Drosophila melanogaster: one gene and its partners. The gene in region 3 interacts genetically with the main gene of each other region. Each region holds a gene or a part of one and is shown on either strand. Other genes may lie near its edges.

What was found.
Region 1: of Myc (region 3) and nclb, changing one suppresses a phenotype caused by changing the other (phenotypic suppression), as found in Drosophila melanogaster (one study listed by BioGRID).
Region 2: of Myc (region 3) and Gcn5, changing one suppresses a phenotype caused by changing the other (phenotypic suppression), as found in Drosophila melanogaster (2 studies listed by BioGRID).
Region 4: of Myc (region 3) and Ilp5, changing one suppresses a phenotype caused by changing the other (phenotypic suppression), as found in Drosophila melanogaster (one study listed by BioGRID).

The regions. Positions count from the first base shown.
Region 1 is NT_033778.4:10,873,695-10,878,209, forward strand, and holds nclb (no child left behind), read left to right. Parts: upstream 1-2,053; 5' UTR 2,054-2,142; coding exon 2,143-3,522; 3' UTR 3,523-3,602; downstream 3,603-4,515. Other genes in the region: CG30016 (uncharacterized protein), read right to left, coding at 1,281-1,589, 1,645-1,677; Taf5 (TBP-associated factor 5), read right to left, coding at 3,797-4,515. UniProt on the Drosophila melanogaster protein: Chromatin-associated factor that regulates transcription. Regulates Pol I-mediated rRNA biogenesis and, probably, Pol III-mediated transcription. Regulates the localization to the nucleolus of Cdk7, a regulator of the Pol I-elongation factor TFIIH.
Region 2 is NT_037436.4:12,520,164-12,525,732, reverse strand, and holds Gcn5 (Gcn5 acetyltransferase), read left to right. Parts: upstream 1-1,718; 5' UTR 1,719-1,829; coding exon 1,830-3,088; intron 3,089-3,142; coding exon 3,143-3,795; intron 3,796-3,857; coding exon 3,858-4,387; 3' UTR 4,388-4,604; downstream 4,605-5,569. Other genes in the region: eIF2beta (eukaryotic translation initiation factor 2 subunit beta), read left to right, coding at 56-579; ver (verrocchio), read right to left, coding at 648-1,292.
Region 3 is NC_004354.4:3,371,376-3,376,562, reverse strand, and holds the start of Myc (Myc), read right to left. Parts: upstream 3,405-5,187; 5' UTR 2,840-3,404; intron 1,624-2,839; exon of another isoform or gene 1,620-1,623; 5' UTR 1,558-1,619; coding exon 330-1,557; intron 1-329. UniProt on the Drosophila melanogaster protein: Participates in the regulation of gene transcription. Binds DNA in a non-specific manner, yet also specifically recognizes the core sequence CAC[GA]TG. Seems to activate the transcription of growth-related genes; required for cellular proliferation and growth.
Region 4 is NT_037436.4:9,822,446-9,825,871, reverse strand, and holds Ilp5 (Insulin-like peptide 5), read left to right. Parts: upstream 1-1,974; 5' UTR 1,975-1,998; coding exon 1,999-2,161; intron 2,162-2,232; coding exon 2,233-2,396; 3' UTR 2,397-2,523; downstream 2,524-3,426. Other genes in the region: CG43897 (uncharacterized protein), read right to left, coding at 1-1,069, 1,232-1,326.

The DNA of each region.
Region 1 (4,515 bases), on a different chromosome or scaffold from region 3:
AAAAGTGAACTTAAACAAGTTGGATTTCATAACTTCAGAATGGTTTCTTAGTGGGGTGAATCTTAAACAACAGGTTTGTTCGCCCAATTGAATAATATTCCAAAACAACAGATTATTCCTAGCTTCCTGATGAGATCACCTAAAGCCACCGCCACTCACCTTTCGGAATTACTTGTGCGATCTTCGCCGGATTCTGGAGGTGCTTCGTACCGCATTCAAATTGGACCAATTGGGGAGAGCAGAGTTACCAACTGGCGTGCTGATCTCGTTAGAATTTAAGCTCGTTTCTTTCCGAGTTTTTCGGGTTTTCAGATGGCAGGCGGAGCGAGACGCGGCCAGGCACTTGGTATGGGTACAGATATAGATGATGGCAGGGGTCTGGGTATAGGTATAGGTATAGGTACTAGGCGGGGGTACTTGTTGCTCACGCGGAGCCCAAAAGCAAAACCTCGGATCTGGACGATGGCCAGAAAATGGAAACGCGATTAGGGGCAGGCGCAAAGGGTATGGGTACACAAAAAAGATGCAGAGCCAGCAGCAGCGCGGAGTATAAAAAAAATAAACGAAAACAATGCCGGAAAAAATCAACATGCACACACTGACACCAAGAATATGTATCTTAAAACTGGTTTAAGATTTGTCGGGGATTTGCTGGCTCGGCCGCATCGAGTGTATGTCTATGGGAGCGCTGTTTGTACTTTCCAATAACAAATCCCACTTCTTGTTTGCCTCTTTTTGAAAACACGCACACATATGTATATTATTATGGAAATATTGTTTCCACTCAGAATCCAACTACGAAACAACTGTTGCACCTCGGTGCAGGATATGAATCAGAAAAGAACTGAAGGACGCAAGCATCCATCACTCACTCACTTTGCAGAGAGCACTTGCCAACGATCTTGCATTTTCAAATATGTTTTTTTTTCGTATACAAATTACCGGCACACGACTCGACCACCGATCGCCGTTTCAAAAACATTCAATTCCAAACACCGACAACGCACCGAACGCACGAACCTCCCGCGACAGGCGCTAAATACAAACTGAGCGGAACCAAACGACACCGAATGCTGGCTAGAGATGGCAAGATACTGCACTGGCGAATAGGGATGGGAGCGTGAGGTTAGTTGATTTCATGACACGGTTACTCATGCACGAACATCGCACGAAGTGTAAAGCGATCCCGAGATGTTACAAATAAACATTTAAAAAACCTTTATTCAAATCAATTACATTTTTGTAAGTTGTGTAACATCCATTATTCGGTTTTAACCGAGCTATGTTCCACGATATGTGGAATACCCAAAGGGATTGAGTAACAAAGGAATGTGATAGTTCTGATTCTCACTGCAATCCACAATCAAGTCAATTGCTGGATAAAGTGTCCTCACATTGCGCTCCGCGTAATAGGCGCCCACGTGAAAGGTCAGCTTATAGATCCCGCCGGGAAATTGACCAGGTTCCAAGAGCAGGCAGCGACCATCCGCATCAGTTTGGGCCGCCCGAAGGGATCTCCATTCCTGAATCTCGTCCAGCCTGGAAACTGTTACTCTCACATTGGCTGCCGCCTTTCCCACCGAAGTATCCTGTAAAAGGTTAACGAAAAATTTTATACATATAAATAAATTGAAACAAAGTTACCAATATGTGGGTAGAAAACTTTCGTGCATCCATCTTGAGGGCAACTTTAAGATTAAAGATCGTAGATATCTCTGGTATCTCAGACGGTAGCAAAAGCTCCAGTTTATGGGACTCTTTATCTTAATCTTTGATTGCATCTTGCATTAACAATGAAAATCACTGATAAGTGGGATATCAAAATAATATGTAAGCCAAAAATCTGTTTGGGGAAATAAATTGGAACGATCATATATATACTTTTTTTTAATGAAGTATTAATTCCAAATAAACGAATAAATTTGCAACAGTTTTTAAAAATATAAAAATCGTTTGATGCCGTATGTTTCAGTATTTGTTTAAAGTATTAGCAAAGACACTAGAATATTCTATTATTCTAGTGTCTTTGGTATTAGTAACAGCGTAATTAATAGGATCTGGTCACACAACCTGCCTTGTTTGAACTGCACGTGTTTATCAATTCGTTTGGTGTATCAAACTAAGTTGAAAAATATAATCATAATGGCTGAGGAAGGACCACCGGAGCCGAGCATTGATTTTGTCCCAGCTCTTTGCTTTGTACCACGCGGCGTGGCTAAGGATCGTCCCGACAAGATCGTGCTGACGCAGGCGGAGCTGGCCAGGATTATCGGTGATACGCAACAGGAATTGGACGAGGAGAGCGACGACGATGCAGAGGAGGGCGAAAATGCCGAGGAAGACCAAAACGACATGGATGTGGACGACCACGCGGATGCCAATAGTGAGAACCGCGATCCGCAGGACGAGTTCCAATTCCAGGAGTATGACAACGAGGCGAATGCTAATGTCACCAGTCTGGCCAACATCGTGGACGCTGGCGAGCAAATCCCCGATGAGGACGAAGACTCCGAGGCCGAGGACGAGGTGATCAAGCCCAGCGACAACCTCATTCTAGTGGGTCACGTTCAAGACGACGCCGCCTCCATGGAGGTGTGGGTTTTCAACCAGGAGGAGGAGGCTCTCTACACCCACCACGACTTTCTGCTGCCAAGCTTTCCTCTGTGCATCGAGTGGATGAATCACGACGCGGGCAGCGAAAAGGCGGGCAACATGTGCGCCATCGGCTGCATGGATCCGATAATCACAGTCTGGGATCTAGACATACAGGACGCTATCGAGCCCACATTTAAGCTGGGTTCCAAAGGCAGCCGGAAGCAGAACAAAGAGCAGTATGGACACAAGGACGCCGTGCTGGATCTCTCTTGGAACACCAACTTTGAGCACATTCTGGCCAGCGGGTCCGTGGACCAAACTGTGATTCTGTGGGACATGGACGAGGGCCAGCCTCATACAACCATTACCGCTTTTGGCAAACAGATTCAGTCGCTGGAATTCCATCCGCAAGAGGCTCAAAGCATTCTTACCGGCTGTGCCGATGGATACGTGCGACTCTTCGATTGCCGCGACGCTGAGGGCGTCAACTCGTCCAGCATTGAGTGGAAAGTTGACGGTGAAGTGGAGAAGGTCCTGTGGCATCCCACACAGACCGACTACTTCATCGTGGGCACCAACGATGGCACCTTGCATTACGCCGACAAACGTTCTCCTGGACAACTGCTGTGGTCCGTAAAGGCCCACAACGAGGAAATCTCCGGTGTGTGCTTCAACAACCAGAAGCCTAATCTGCTGACCTCCACCTCCACGGAGGGCACCCTAAAGGTGTGGAACTTTGATGGCACAGAGGCAAAGCACGTCTACGAGCACGAGTTCAACATGGGTCGCTTGCAGTGCATGCGCCAGTGCCCCGAGGATCCCTACACCCTGGCCTTCGGCGGAGAGAAGCCTCCGCGCTGTGCGATCTTTAACATCAAGAACTCGATAGCCGTGCGCCGAACGTTTGGAATCCCTGATGCAGAGTAGGCAAATCGTACAGCTACGTATTTATCTGTGTATATGCTTTATATGACTTTTAAATAAATATGAATTATATATAAGAACCTTAATGATTGACTTTTATATTAATTAAAATTTATTGATAACTTGCGCATATATGCACTTTACACTTTTATGCTTAAACAACTAATCGACATTTCAGGGGGGATGGGTCACAAACGAAATACAAAACATTAATCCTAAACATTCCGAGCATTCCTTAACACTACATTACGTATACCAAATAAGCTTATCTGTGCTCCTAACTCTTGAATAGACCCACGCACATCAGGAGATTTCGGCGCGTAAAGTGCAGGCTGACAAATGGCGAGTTCTTGCTGGGGAAAGTACGCATGAGGTAGACGTCCTCGTCGTTCTCATCCTGATGGTGCGACACAGTGATGTGATTGCTGATATAGTCTTCGGTAACCTTGTGAAAGTCCCACAGAGTTAGATTGTTATCCAAGCCGGCTGCAGCCAGGACTGTTCCATCGCGACTAAAGGTGATCGTGGTCACAGTGCTAGTGTGCCTCAACAGGGTGGTGACCAGGGATCCGTTCGACAGATCCCAGATGATGATATTGTGATCTACTGAACCCGAGGCCAGATACCGGCCGCAGGCGGAGAAGGCCAGAGAACTCACCGATCCCTTGTGGCCCGTCATCAGGCGTACCGACTGACCGGTCATGTTGTCCCACAGGCGTACCGTGCGATCGCTAGAACCGGTGGCCACATAATTGGAATTGGGATGAAATTGTACACAATCCACGTCCGACAAGTGACCCACGAATACGCGCAACGCTTGATTGGAATCCGTGGCCCACAGACGAGCAGTTTTGTCGTACGAACAAGAAACAAAATAGTAGCCATGCGGCGCAAAGCGAACATCCCACACCGGGTAAACGTGCCCGCGGTAGGTGACTACGCAGGACCAGGTGAGCAGAGACCACAGCCTTATGGTGCTGTCCTCGGAACATGAGA
Region 2 (5,569 bases), on a different chromosome or scaffold from region 3:
TTAGCAAATAAGCTTATACCATACCCTTTTAAATAACGTTTTCATCCGTTTACAGACGAGGACAACAGCTCAACCTGGTTTGGCTCCGACCGCGATTACACATACGACGAGTTGCTGAAGCGGGTCTTCGAAATCATTCTCGACAAGAATCCGGACATGGCCGCCGGCCGAAAGCCAAAGTTCGTGATGCGACCGCCGCAGGTGCTGCGCGTGGGAACCAAGAAGACCTCCTTTGCCAACTTCATGGACATTGCGAAAACGCTGCATCGCCTGCCCAAGCATCTGCTCGATTTCCTGCTGGCCGAGTTGGGTACCAGTGGCTCCATGGACGGCAACCAGCAGCTGATCATCAAGGGCCGTTTCCAGCCCAAACAGATCGAGAATGTGCTGCGTCGCTACATCAAGGAGTACGTCACCTGTCACACCTGCCGCTCCCCGGAAACGATATTGCAGAAGGACACGCGTCTCTTCTTCCTGCAGTGCGAATCCTGTGGCTCCCGCTGCTCGGTGGCCAGCATTAAGTCAGGTTTCCAGGCTGTCACCGGCAAACGTGCCGCCATACGAGCAAAAACAACCTAAATTCTCCTTATTTAAAACTTTTTGAATTTTTATTACCAGTAAAATTTCAATACAAAAAACCAACGATACTATTTATTTGTTGTATTCTGCATTGTTTTATGCCTTCGTTGCCAGTCGGTTAGGTAGTCTACGAAGCCAATTTCCATATTCCGCGATCGGCCGCTGTCTATGAAGAACTGAAAAGCGTCCAGACCCATCTTGCCGCGGAACCTATTCGGACGACCGCGCAGGAATAGGCTGTGGCCCCTCGAGATGCGCGTGGGATCAATGTACTCCATGGAGACCTGCAGCAGCCGCATCATGCTCACGGCAATGCTCTTGTAGGCCTCGGACGAGGCCAGCGAACTGGCTTCACTGTACAGGCTGCTGATCACGCGTCCATTGAAGGGTTTTTTGGTGATGCTGGCCTCCAGGGAGCCGGTGCCATCATCGATCATGAACTTCATGAACGACTCGTTGTGCGTTCCATTGCCAGTTACAAAGGCGTAGATGATGCAGGTGCAGAAGTGAATCGGATGCACGTCGTCTGTGATGAACACATTCTCGTTCTCCGGATCCTGAGTTGCGCGCTCAATCTGGGATATGGTCAGCGGCACGTTGTCGTGGACCTCCGGACCACATTTGCCCGTGGACTTTTCACTCTGTTGATTCTTGCGTATCACGAAGTTATCCAGCTGGCTTTCTATGTCCTCGAAACTCTGATTAAAATCCATTCTATTTGCTTAGTCTGCGATTTCAAAGGGGATTTCTTTATTGCAGTGCATTTTGCATTAGCGCCAAAAAAAAAAACAGTTGTGAGCATGGGCGTAGACTTCGTATTTTCTTACAAATAATATTAATTAAAATTAATTTTGTGAGCAATTTTCACACAATTGTATTATAAGTTAAAACCAGGGTCACATTAATTTGCAGAACCGCGCAATATTTTCTTTTTAACCCCCTTACAAATTTTCAGTTGTTTTGACTACGCCCCTGCTAATTTTTACTTATTAAATTCAAAGTCTAAAAACATTGTCACCAGATAATACGAGTATACACTATATGGACAAACGTAAAATCGTTAATAGAATATATATATTCAACCATTATTTCACCACCGAGAGAAATTCATTTGCACAAAACGCCAGGTTGGCAGCACCATCATTGCGCACAGCAAGTGGGCAAACTCGTTGTATCGCTTGTGAAATTTAAGGAAAAGTACACTTTGTTCAAAACTAACGAAGAGAATCGCAATATCTGCCGATCTTGGAATGTCTGGTGGTCCATCCATAACGATAAAAAGCCAACCAATCGATGGTAACAACACGGGCAACGCTGCGGCGCAACAGCAGCAGCAGGCAGCGAATGGCGCAGCAACCGCTGGTGCATCTGGAGCCGCTGGCAGCGCCCAGAATCCAGGACACGGAGGAGCTGCGTCCGGCGCTGGCAGTGTGCCGGCAGAGGGAACGCGCCAGAACAGCCTACAGCGCATTCAGCAGCGAAAGCAAAAGGTCTTCAATCTGCCCGTGCCACAGAAACTGGCCAAATTGTCGATGTATTCCGCCTGCCAGTCTGAGGGATGCCGTTGCACCGGCTGGAAGACACCGCAGGAAAATCGCCACCGTGACGTCGAGTCCTCCTACTGTCCGGAGTTCAACGAGGAGTGCCGCAACACCAGCTGTCGCCATTCGCTGAGATCGCACATAGCCCATCTGGACAATATATCCAGTTCCAGCATGAACGAGCTACTGGGCGCCATTATAGACATGGAGAACCTATTCATGTCCATGCAGCGCGTCGAGGACGAGGACACCAAGAAGGTGTACCAGTACCTCTTCCGTTTGCTGCGCCAGTGCGTCCTCACGCGCCAGCAGGCGGTCATCCGGGGTCCTCTCGGCGATCCACCATTCGAGACGCCGTGCATCACCAAGGCTGTGCTCTCGTTGGTCTTCTACAAGTACAATCACCTGAGCACGCCTGAACTCCAAACCATGACCGAGGTGGCCAAGACGTTCTTGAACTTTCTGAACCACTACAACTTTGAATCGCCGTCGACCAGGAGAGGAGATCTCACCCACGAGGATGCCTCTAACTACAAAATCAACTACACCAGGTGGTTGGTGTTCTGCCACGTGCCCGCCTTCTGTAACTCCCTGCGCCAATGTGAAACGTCCCTAGTGTTTGGACGAACGCTCCTGCGCACCGTTTTCCAGTGCATGTCGCAGCAGCTGAAAAAGAAGTGCATCTCCGAGCGGGATCGCTTTCCCGAGGACAAGCGTTCGATCATCACGCTGATGCCGAAGTTTTTGGAAACGCTTCGCGCCGAATTGCTCAAGGATGATTCGCCCATCTGGGATACCAGCTACCGCCCGTCAAATTCCTTTGTCATCCAGCAGAGAAAGCGTAACCAGGAGGTGGCAAATGTACCCATTGGTCCCAGTGCAGCAAGCATTGGTGGAAACAAGAGGACCAGTGTGGGTGAACCGCTCCACAAGCGAATCAAAAAGGAGCCCACCGATCGTCCAAGCAGGTTGGTAATCAGTTTTTTCTTCTTTCAATACATTTACTAATCGTCCTGCCGCAGTGAGAATTTGGATGACCTGCCTGCGGATGTAGTAATGCGCGCCATGAAATCGGTGTCCGAGTCGAAGACCACCAACAAAGCGGAAATTCTCTTTCCGGTTAATGTGTCGCGGGATGAGAACGTCAAGGCGGAGGAGCAGAAGCGAGCCATTGAGTTCCATGTGGTGGGCAATTCGCTGACCAAACCGGTGGACAAGCAGACTGTTTTGTGGCTACTGGGCCTGCAGCTCGTATTTGCCTATCAGCTACCCGAGATGCCGCGCGAGTACATCAGCCAGTTGGTTTTCGACACCAAGCACAAAACACTGGCGCTCATCAAGGAAAACCAACCCATCGGCGGCATCTGTTTCCGCCCGTTTCCGTCGCAAGGCTTCACCGAGATCGTTTTCTGCGCGGTCACCATGTCGGAACAAGTTAAGGGCTATGGCACGCACTTGATGAACCACTTGAAGGACTACAGCATACAGAGGGGTATCAAGCATCTGCTCACATTCGCCGATTGCGATGCCATCGGGTACTTCAAGAAGCAGGGTTTCTCCAAGGACATCAAATTGGCGCGACCAGTTTATGCGGGCTACATCAAGGAGTACGATAGTGCTACTCTCATGCACTGCGAGCTGCATCCAAGCATTGTGAACACGCAGTTCATAGCTGGTTAGTCAAAGAATGGACAAGGAATCCATGGTCCCATTTTACACTCCAATTCTTCCTTTCAGTAATTCGCAGTCAGAGCGAGATTCTGAAGGAGCTGATCGCACAGCGCCACAACGAGGTGCAGAAAGTAAGACCCGGCTTGACTTGCTTCAAGGAGGGCCTGCCCGTGATTCCCGTGGAATCGATTCCTGGTCTGCGGGAGATCGGTTGGAAGCCGCAAAATCGTCCGGCGCGCTCATCGCGACCCCTCGAGGAATCCACCGATCCGGAGAAGCTGGCCACGTCCTTTGCATCCGTGCTGCAATCCGTGCGCCAGCACACCACCGCCTGGCCCTTCCTGCGCCCGGTGACCGCGGCCGAAGTTCCGGACTACTACGATCACATTAAATATCCCATGGACCTGAAGACCATGGGCGAGCGCCTGAAGAAGGGTTACTACCAAACGCGCCGCCTGTTCATGGCGGACATGGCGCGCATTTTCTCCAACTGTCGGTTCTACAATTCGCCCGACACCGAGTATTATCGGTGTGCCAACTCCCTGGAGCGCTACTTCCAGACCAAGATGCGCGAGCTGGGGCTGTGGGACAAATGATGCAGTGATTCCGAGGAGCCCTGCATAAGGCCGAACATTTAATCGAACTAAATTATTATATTAATTCTATTTATTTTTAGAATTCTCCCCAGCTAAAGAAAAACCCATATAGTTAGTTTGTCGTTATAGATACTTAGGTTAAGCTCAGTGTGTCCGTCTTGTTCACAGACGCGTTGTGTCTTTGGGAAGAATAAATCAGATCTATCGCCTACTCATTAACCACGAATCCACCCACTCTCCCTTCATCCAGTGGACAAAACCAATGCTGGTCAAATGATGTGTAACCACTACGTTTTTGTCTTAACTCTTTATTTCACTTTTGATTTCCTACATTCATTGTTTCGCATGCTTTTAAAGTTAGAGTTCTTCTCATTTGTTTTTATTTTGGTTTAGTAAATAATTTCAGTTATAAAATTATATCTTAGGGGCGGGAGTTTAATCGAATCTCTAGGACATTGTACAAAGGCTCATGCATACATAAATACGTGGCTCCACATCTGCGTTTCATCCTTTCCAAGGCTGCACCGGAAATGGCAAAGGATATCGTGGATATGCCGATGGTACAATGAAAATGTTAACCGTAGTTGCTTACTGCTTGAATTCAATTATCCTTTATTACATGGTATATTTAGTTTTTAATTTCCATACGTGGTAGTCTTTACAATTTAGCCATTACTTGCGAAACGTGCTTTCTTTTCAGTGTTCAACTCGATAATTGCGTATTTATATACAAACATACATATGTGGAGCTAATCAGAGTGAGCATATATGGAGATATACATATTACATACAATTAGATACATAATTTATGATTACATAATATTGAAATGTTTGTGGTGACTCCGCCAGCTCATCCTCATCCTCATCCCTCTTCTCTCTGCCAGCGTGTTAACTGGCCAAACTGGACTGGGCTTGTGCTGAATACAAATATATATCTGGATACAAGGATAACAAACAAATATCTAAAGGGATTCAGCTGGAGATACGCGTACTTTACTCGCTTTTGAAGGCCTCGATTTCAAGCGCAGCAGCCAGTGAATCACACAATCAATCTTAACATTTACATTGAGAACATCATCACCATAGGTATCGTATCTTTTCAAATCGATTCGAATCGTAAGTATAATTTCCCTTGCCCAACCGAGATCAGAGAAAATAAACTGTACGAAAACCGAAAATTTG
Region 3 (5,187 bases):
CCACACGAAACGGAAGTGCGAACACTAGTTGAATGTGCAACACCCAAAGGATGGATGAATGTGCGGGCGGGCGGGGGGTCATGTGGCCGGTTGTAAACTAATCGGCCGCCCCACGACGTTGTAATTAGTATGCCACTTTTGGTAGGCGTTTTAGACTGACTCAGGCGTAAACTAAATTTTAATGCATCCCCAGGGATCTAACTAATCTCTACTGTTTTGCCATGCATCCAACGACCAGACCATTTTGTATTTCTTGTAAGACATTCGGACTTTAAGCTTCCAATATTGATGAAAATGGGGCATATGAAAAGTATATAAATTTGACTCACCGGAATCTGAGGGGGTCTCCAAATTGGGACCATCGTCCACCATATCGTTGCAGCGCGTGTAGCTGTGATCGGTGATGTGCATCATGTGCAGCATGCCGTTGCTGTTGTTCTTCAATTTGTTGTTTTTGTTGTTGCTGTTGTTGTTGTTGGTGGTGATGCTGGCATTGCTGCCGCTTTTGCTAGTGCGATGATGGCGCAGGTCAAAGTTGAGGGGTTCACCGTCATCGGAGTCACTATCAGAGCCGGTCGTCGGCGGAGAATCCACTGTGTTGCGTCCAGTGGCTATATCGATGGCCTGTTGTTGCTCGTCCAGTTGCTGTTGGTTCAACTGCTGTTGGCCACCCGTCGAATTGGAATGCTGGTTGAGCACATCGAGGACATCGTTGATCGGCGGGATGTAACGCACCGGCAACGGATCCTTGCCGGTATTCTGAAGCTCCCTGCTGATTTGCTTAATGTAGTTGACATCGCTATCATTGCCGGTCAGCGAGATATTATTGCTGCCCATCACGCAGGCACGCAAGTCGACGTTATGTCTAAACTCTGAGGCGGCCACCTCGTCGGTAAGACTGTGAGGTGTGTCTGGTCTCTGGTATTTTATGCTATCGCTGCCGCTCAATTCGCCCGATTTGCGGATAATGTCCTGGTTGTTCCGCTTGCGGAGCAAACTTCCGCCGGGCGGTATTAAATGGACCTCGTCCTGGATCTGTGACTTCTTGTCACCGCCGCTCAAACGGAGGCGCTTCTGACAGACCGTGTAGTCCAGATCTGCGAGCTCCTTCTTGATGATCACCGGCATGTTCTCGGCACTGTTGACGACATGCTGTTGATTTGACTGGGTGTTATCTGTCGTCTGCGATCGTTGATACGCGCTGTAGAGATTCGTAGAGCCGGAAACCATCGCCAGGGATACGGCACCGGTTTCGCTGTACGACGAGGCTGCACTGTTTCCGCTCTCTATTCCATTACCGTTACCGCTGGTCAAACAGCTGGACATCGCCGGCCACATGCAGTCGATGTTGCGGATCTCTGGCTTCATATCCTCCTCTAAGTCATAGTCTTGAAATACACTTTCCATGTCCTCGATCTTCTCGAGATCACTCTGAATGGTGGACGACGAAAGGAGTTTGTCCATATCGTACAGATCATTATCCATATCGAATATTGAAATATTTGAAAAAAGTTGGTCGTCCATTATGGAATACGGATCAGAGCGGTAAAGGGCCATTGCGATTATGTTGTCTGGGTTTTTTTTTCTTTCTATATATCTTAAGTTCCTGAGTTATATGCCTGTCTGAAAAATATAGATAAGGCGGAAATCGTTGTAGGTATGATTCTATATTTGAACTTAATTAAATAAATATGTCGGCAACACACTTTTTGAAAACTTCTTCAACATAAGGATTTTTGCAACATTTCAACTATAATGTAAGAGTAACTAAACTCCTAATATTATTATTGTATTAAGTCACGTTCTACTGTGCCAGATTTCACCTATAATGACGTCAGGCGATGTCGAGGGTTCAGCAAATGTTATCAAAAGCAAATTTAGCTTATAGCTTCATTTATACACTATTAACCATTTGAACCCGAAATCGTCAATCTTGGCGCTCTTGACAATAGCAAAAAAAAAAAAAAAATACATATACTAATGAAATAAACAAGGGCATAAAAGGAAAACCAAATATCAAATACCCAATTCCAGTTACTGAAAAATAAACGGTCCTTTTACCGATAAACGCAGACCTGCAAAGCTTACTGTGCTTTTCCCTTTTCGTAGAATCCGTTGCATTCCGGTAAACAAGTACGAGCAAAAACTAACAGTACATGTCTTTCGCAGAATCGAACGCAACCCGGTATATATTGAATTTCAGAATCATAGTAAAATTGGAATATCAACATTTATTAAATTATTATTTAAATCTTTTTAAATTTATTAAGCTAATTTATTTCTTTTTTAATTTATCAAGCTAATTTATTTCTTTTTTAATTTATCAAGCTAATTTATTTCTTTTTTTAATTAATTGATTTATTTCTCCTTTAAAAAGTTTAATACTTTCGTAAAAATTTTGGGACCATTTTATTTAATTACTTTGGAGCCCCAGAGTTCTGGAATTTTCGAACATTACCAACTCGTTTCAACGCCATCAAAGCGTTTTTAATACTTGCCAGCATTAAGAAGAATTTCACAAAACAATAAAGAACTTTGTAGAATTTTGTTTTGCAAAATTCGTCCACTTCCACTTTTCTATTGTCTCACTTTTTGTTCTTAATTTCTTGTAAGCACTTGATTCTTAACATTCCTTCTGAGTTCCTAGAATCCGTTATTTCGTATCGATTTGTGCGGCCATGATCACTGATTTGTCATTGTGTGTGAGAGCACCGTTAAAAGTTAAGCTATTTCACCTTTCCCAGAAATTCTATTTTGAATTCCCCGTAGTGGCGCGATTTTTGAAGTCGTTGCGTTCCGATAAATAATATATATTATATATATATATCTTTGCACTCACCTCGCTGAACATAGTTTCCGTATCCGTCTCTATTTAATTGATTGTAATCCAATTTAGTTAGCTTCCTTTGCTTTCCAGTCGCTTTCGGCTATATCTATTTCTATCCCGTTCCCGTGCCGCCAGCAAGTTGGGCACTTTTTTTTTTGCGTCAAAGAAGGGGAAAGACGGAGAAAAAACACCAAAAAAAGGGACACAAAAAAAAATTCTTCCCGTTTATTTTGCACTAGCTGATTTTTTTTAAAAAATCTTTTTTTAATTCTAGTTTTTCACAAGTTTTTGTTTCTGCTTTGGAGAAGATTTTTTTTTATGTATTTGCGCGGTTTTAAGTCGGCTCTTAGGTTATTTCTGGGATTTAGCACTTTTGTAACTTGGCTGTGACAGTTGTTAGTAGTAGTTGTATATTTTAAAACGTGTTGCTTCAGGTTTTACTACAGAACTATTTATATAGCGTTTGGTTTTTTTTTTTTGTATCGGGCGGAAAACAGGCAAAAATCCAATCCACAAAGCGATTCTCTGAATTACCCGCGGTGAACTGAACACGCGACGCCACAGAAATAGTGCCCGTTTCATGTTGTCTGTGGCTTAAATAAAATTTCTATCGTACCAGACTGCCGCGCTCTCTGCGCTCTCACTGCGCATGCTCACTGCTGCTCTCTTTGCTGGAATTCGCTTTAAGTGGTGAGAATAGGAGCTTCAACAAAAATCTTCTTTGACATTTGGATCACATTTAGATCACATTTGGATTCATCACGATTTGTTAATACTCGAAGGTTTTCAAATAGTACGCAATGCATTTAAAATGATCAATGTTTCTTTGCCTCTCCCGCACACTGGTTCACATAACAGCATCAGTTTGCCGGTATTTTTTTTTTGAGTGAAAGAGAGTGAGATTTTTGAGTGGTGTTTACAATAATTGAGCGCAAACAAAATTGAGACAAATCGCAAATTGCTCCGTAAATAAAAACATAAACAATTAACTTGAACTGGCTCAAAATGTTTTTGTGAAATAAATGCAATACGAAAATGTGTAGTTGACTGGAAATCAAAACAAAATTTTATTCATTTCCTTAATTTACTTACGGTATGTATATTAAAATATAGAAATTAAATTTATAAATATACGCATTTATTTATGTTAATGTTAATCGACATAAAACTACAGGTTTCAATTGCTTTTCTGTGGCATTATTTGGGATTCTTCATTGCCGCATAAATGTTTCCTATTTTTAAATCGATTTATTTTAAGCTCTATTCCTTTTTGCGTAGAAGTTGCGAGAAGTTGTTCATTCCCTCTTGCTTTGGCGCCTTACATTTCTTTCGTATTTCCTTCTTGCCCTTTCCTTTATCTATGCATGCATTTACCGTACTTTTTTTTATGTGCGTGTGTGCCTTTGTCACCTCTTTGTCTGCCACGCAACTTCATTTTCCGTTTTGTCAAGTTGATTGAACTTGTGAACTTTGTAAACAATGCAGAATTCATTTAACAATAATAGAAAAGTTAGGCCGCATGGTAGAAACAAAAGAAGAGCCAAACATTTTGTTAACGAATTAAACGATGCCAAGGAAATGTAAAAAGAAAGGGAAAAGAATAGAAACCAGCCAAAAATATTACAACTTTGGAAAGAAGAAGTTGTGGAAGAAGTAGAAAAGGGTAATAAGGTAAAGGCGGATAGGAAGCAAGGGGACCTTGAATGAAAAATAGAATATAACATGCACAAGCATACGTCTCTACATACATACATACATATGTATGTATGCACATTCCAACAAACTTCTTAATAACTGTTTGTAAAATACAATGTACATAGTATGTGTACTACATACAAATAATGATTTGTGCATGTGTACATATGTTTATCGCACAAATATGTACATATGTACACATATATCAACCTTTAAAAATCGACTTGAAAGGACCTGCATTTTGAATTTTGCCCCTTTTAGAGAGTATTAAATCATCAGGTGGTTCCGACGCAAAGTTCCTCCCGCTTTCTACACCCCGTCGATTTTGTTACGTTTCGCTTTGATTTTCATTTCCACAACTTTTAGTGCACAACATAGCGCTTTTGGCGCGTGCATCTGCCCTCTCTTTCACACGCTTTGTTTTGATTTCGCAACGAGGCGAACCAGCAAAAAAAAAATGCACGCTGCACACTCGCCCAACTACTCTGCAATTTGCACATTTAATTAATTGTTTGTACAAGCGACATATTAAAAAAAAAAAAAAATTGTTTAATTCTTCTGTCAATGGAAATCACAAACAGCCCAATAAAATTCACCTTCCAACATTCCGCTTTAGTATCCATAAGCATACAAACAGCCATTCGTTGGCAAAAAGCGATATGCTC
Region 4 (3,426 bases), on a different chromosome or scaffold from region 3:
ATCTGCTGGGCACTCAGCTTGAGCTGGTCCGCCGATGCCTCCACGCGAATGGGCACAATGCGAGTGTTGGCCAACGGACTTGGACTCGGATTCACCGGACTGATGCTCCCATTTGTGGCCAAAGCCAAAGCCATCTGCTGCTGCTGTTTAACTGCCACGTTGTCAATTACCATTCGCCCTGCTGTCTTCGCTTGATTGAGATTTGCGGCAGCTGGCGACACCGGTGTCGGTGGCAGCGGCAAGGTCTCCAAATCCACATCTTGACCAGAATTGGGATCATCCTCGCTGTCGCCGTCGTGGCCATATGAGATCTTTACCTCAGTGGCCAGTTTTATGCACCGCCGTTGGACTTTTGGCTTTGAAGTTCTCGGCTTAGGTGGCGGCAATTCCGGAGCACCCACTGTACGTTTCCGGGAGCGGCTACGATCCAGGGAATGAGCCTGTCTCTTGTATCTTGGCCTATATGGAGTGATTTGAGTGGGCAGAGTTGGTGTGGCGGACCTTTTGTGGGCCAATTGCTCGTAGTACTCACATCGCGGAGCCACCAAACCCAAATCCACATCGGCTGCCTTGGTCTCTGGAGCGGAGAATCCCTTGGATATGGGAGTTTGATGGAAAACTTCCGCCAGGTCAGGTTCTTTGGTGTGCTTTTGGAGCGTTTTTGATCTCTCTTTGGAGCCACCATCGCGTCGTCGCTGCTCTCTCACTTCATTGGCAGTGGGTTCGATAACCAGGGTGGGACTCTGGAACTTCTCCCTCAGAGCCTCAATACTGTGCGATGGGCTGCAGGAGATCTGATGGCTCTGTTCGGGATTGATAGTTGGTTGATCCTGCTCAGCTGGAGGCCAGCTGTGATCCCGTTTGAGCAGATGCCTCTTGGTGGCCAGACGGTTGATTTTCAGCACCGTGTCCCGATCGATAGTGATGTCCTGCTGATGACTGAGATAGTCTGTTTTGATCTGGTTCAGAAGCTGCTGGTGCAGCGTGTGATGCAGTGCATCCACCTCGCCTCGTTGACGCGGGCGACTCTGCCTTTCAGTGGGGTAAAAATCTTTGTGGGGGAAGTCCCCTGAATTTATTTAAATTTATCTGTAAAAAACACTAATATTGGACGAGCACTGGGACTGGAGTTTGCTGTTTTGTTGTATGTTTCTACACTGTTTCTTTTTGTCTAGGCAACATAAAATAAACGCGCATAGACAAATATCCAAAAAAGAGAGGTATATCTTACCACATTTGGCTTGTTGTTCTTCCTCTTCGACGGCGCGCAGAACGGCCGAGTTGGCCAAGTTCAGGGGCTTCGTTATTTGATCGTCGACTTCAATCCTAAAAATAACGTAAAAATACAATACAATTAGTAAGAATCAATGCACATCGTATATTGTATGAGGTAAAATTTTAAATTTCGCGGTATATACTGCTTGTGTGTTTGGCGCACTGCTTCGACTGCTTGCAAGCAGTTAGCGCCAAATTTAAATTTATTTTTAAATATGCTCTCCTCGCAGGCATGTATTCGATTGTCATGCGTTCTTTTGGTATATGTTATAGAATTATACATGTGAACAGGCAAAAATGTAATATACGACTTTACTTTCTTAGATATACAATAAGTACATTACTTAAATATTTCATGAAATACAAACTTATGATCGTATGCACTATTTGCACGATAAGCCAATTAAACATATTGAAAATGAAAGCCCTTCTAACTAAAGACCATATATATCGTTATACATTTTGATTTCAGCTATTATATATAGATTCCGCCACCCCCTTGGTGCATCCGATTAAGCGAAAGTTACGCTAATCCATGGGCATAAATTAATGATAGCACCCTGCGATGTCCTGACATTGAAAATTAGCAAGTACGCTCCTGCCCACGCTGACCCCAAAAGACTAATCCAATCTGACAGGTGAAAGTGCGCCGGCGGATATAAAAATGGCTGACAGCGGCGGAAACTGCACCACATCCTATCCAGCAGCAGTTCCAGCAAGGCAATGATGTTCCGCTCCGTGATCCCAGTTCTCCTGTTCCTGATCCCGCTCCTGCTATCCGCCCAGGCCGCAAACTCGCTGCGGGCTTGTGGCCCCGCCTTGATGGACATGCTGAGGGTTGCCTGTCCCAATGGATTCAATTCAATGTTCGCCAAACGAGGCACCTGTGAGTATCGGCTGCGTTTTTTTGGGGTTTGGGGTTTCCAAACGGCACGAACTCACTTATTTTACTTGCAGTGGGCCTATTCGATTATGAGGACCACTTGGCGGATTTGGATAGCTCCGAATCTCACCACATGAACTCACTGTCGAGCATTCGGCGCGATTTTCGCGGCGTTGTCGACTCCTGTTGCCGCAAATCGTGTTCCTTTTCCACGTTGAGGGCATACTGCGACTCCTAAAAATGCTGCGATACCTGGTCCATCAGTTTACATACATACATATATGAGACATGTTACGTAAAAGTATTAAGTATAAACTATATGCACGGCTTTGAAACTTGAAACTACAATAAATAAGCGCAATTCGAAACATCGCTTTTTAATTTCTTCAAACATTAAATATTATAAATATTTCGATAATAATTTTAGCCTTTAAAAGTGAACAGATACACTAAATGGTTAGCAAAAGAACAATATGAACAATTTTAAACACACTTTGATATATCCAAATTCTATTATAACAATGTTTATTTTTTTCCATACGAAAATATGCTCCTTTGAGCGGAAGGAAAATCAAATTTTGATTTAAATCGCAGCAAGTTGGGTGGAAATTTTGCACACAAACAAAACTATGCCTTTCGCTTGCCTGGCGATTTTCTTTAAGCTGGCAAAAAGAGTTTTCAACTTTAATTATAATTTGCTTGAAATGTTTTGCTTTCAACGCATCATCTTAATCTGGGACGAAATGTTTTGCCTCAACAAAACGAGATAACAAACAGAAATATTTAAGCTAAGAAAATGTGCCTGCTGAGATAAGACCTTAAAGAATTTATGGACGACAAAGTCCAGAGATAATCGCCAAGCTTTAAGCTTTTTCGGCAATTTAAGACGAACGTCAGCCATTCCTCATTAGATCCGACATTGACCTTTTAGCTGGGAACATTTGGCAAAAAATCACTCACATCTGTCGGCCTCAACTTTAATTAGTTGATTAATTTGAAGGAAGTGTAAACATTGTGACAACCTCATTCGCCGCAGGCCCATTTTGGCTCAAAAATAAAGACAAATAGATAGATAGATAGACATTCAATTCATTGAATTTTAATAGAGATTTGCTCAAATATTTGCCCAGATATCCACTTAGTGGCGTTTGCTTAATTAACAGCACAGCGTTTTAATTATTTTCTGTTCGAAATTTGATTGGTTAATTTTCCGATTTCACTGTGATTCACCGATGGGCAGAAAGTCAAGAGATGCCTCACTACTTTTT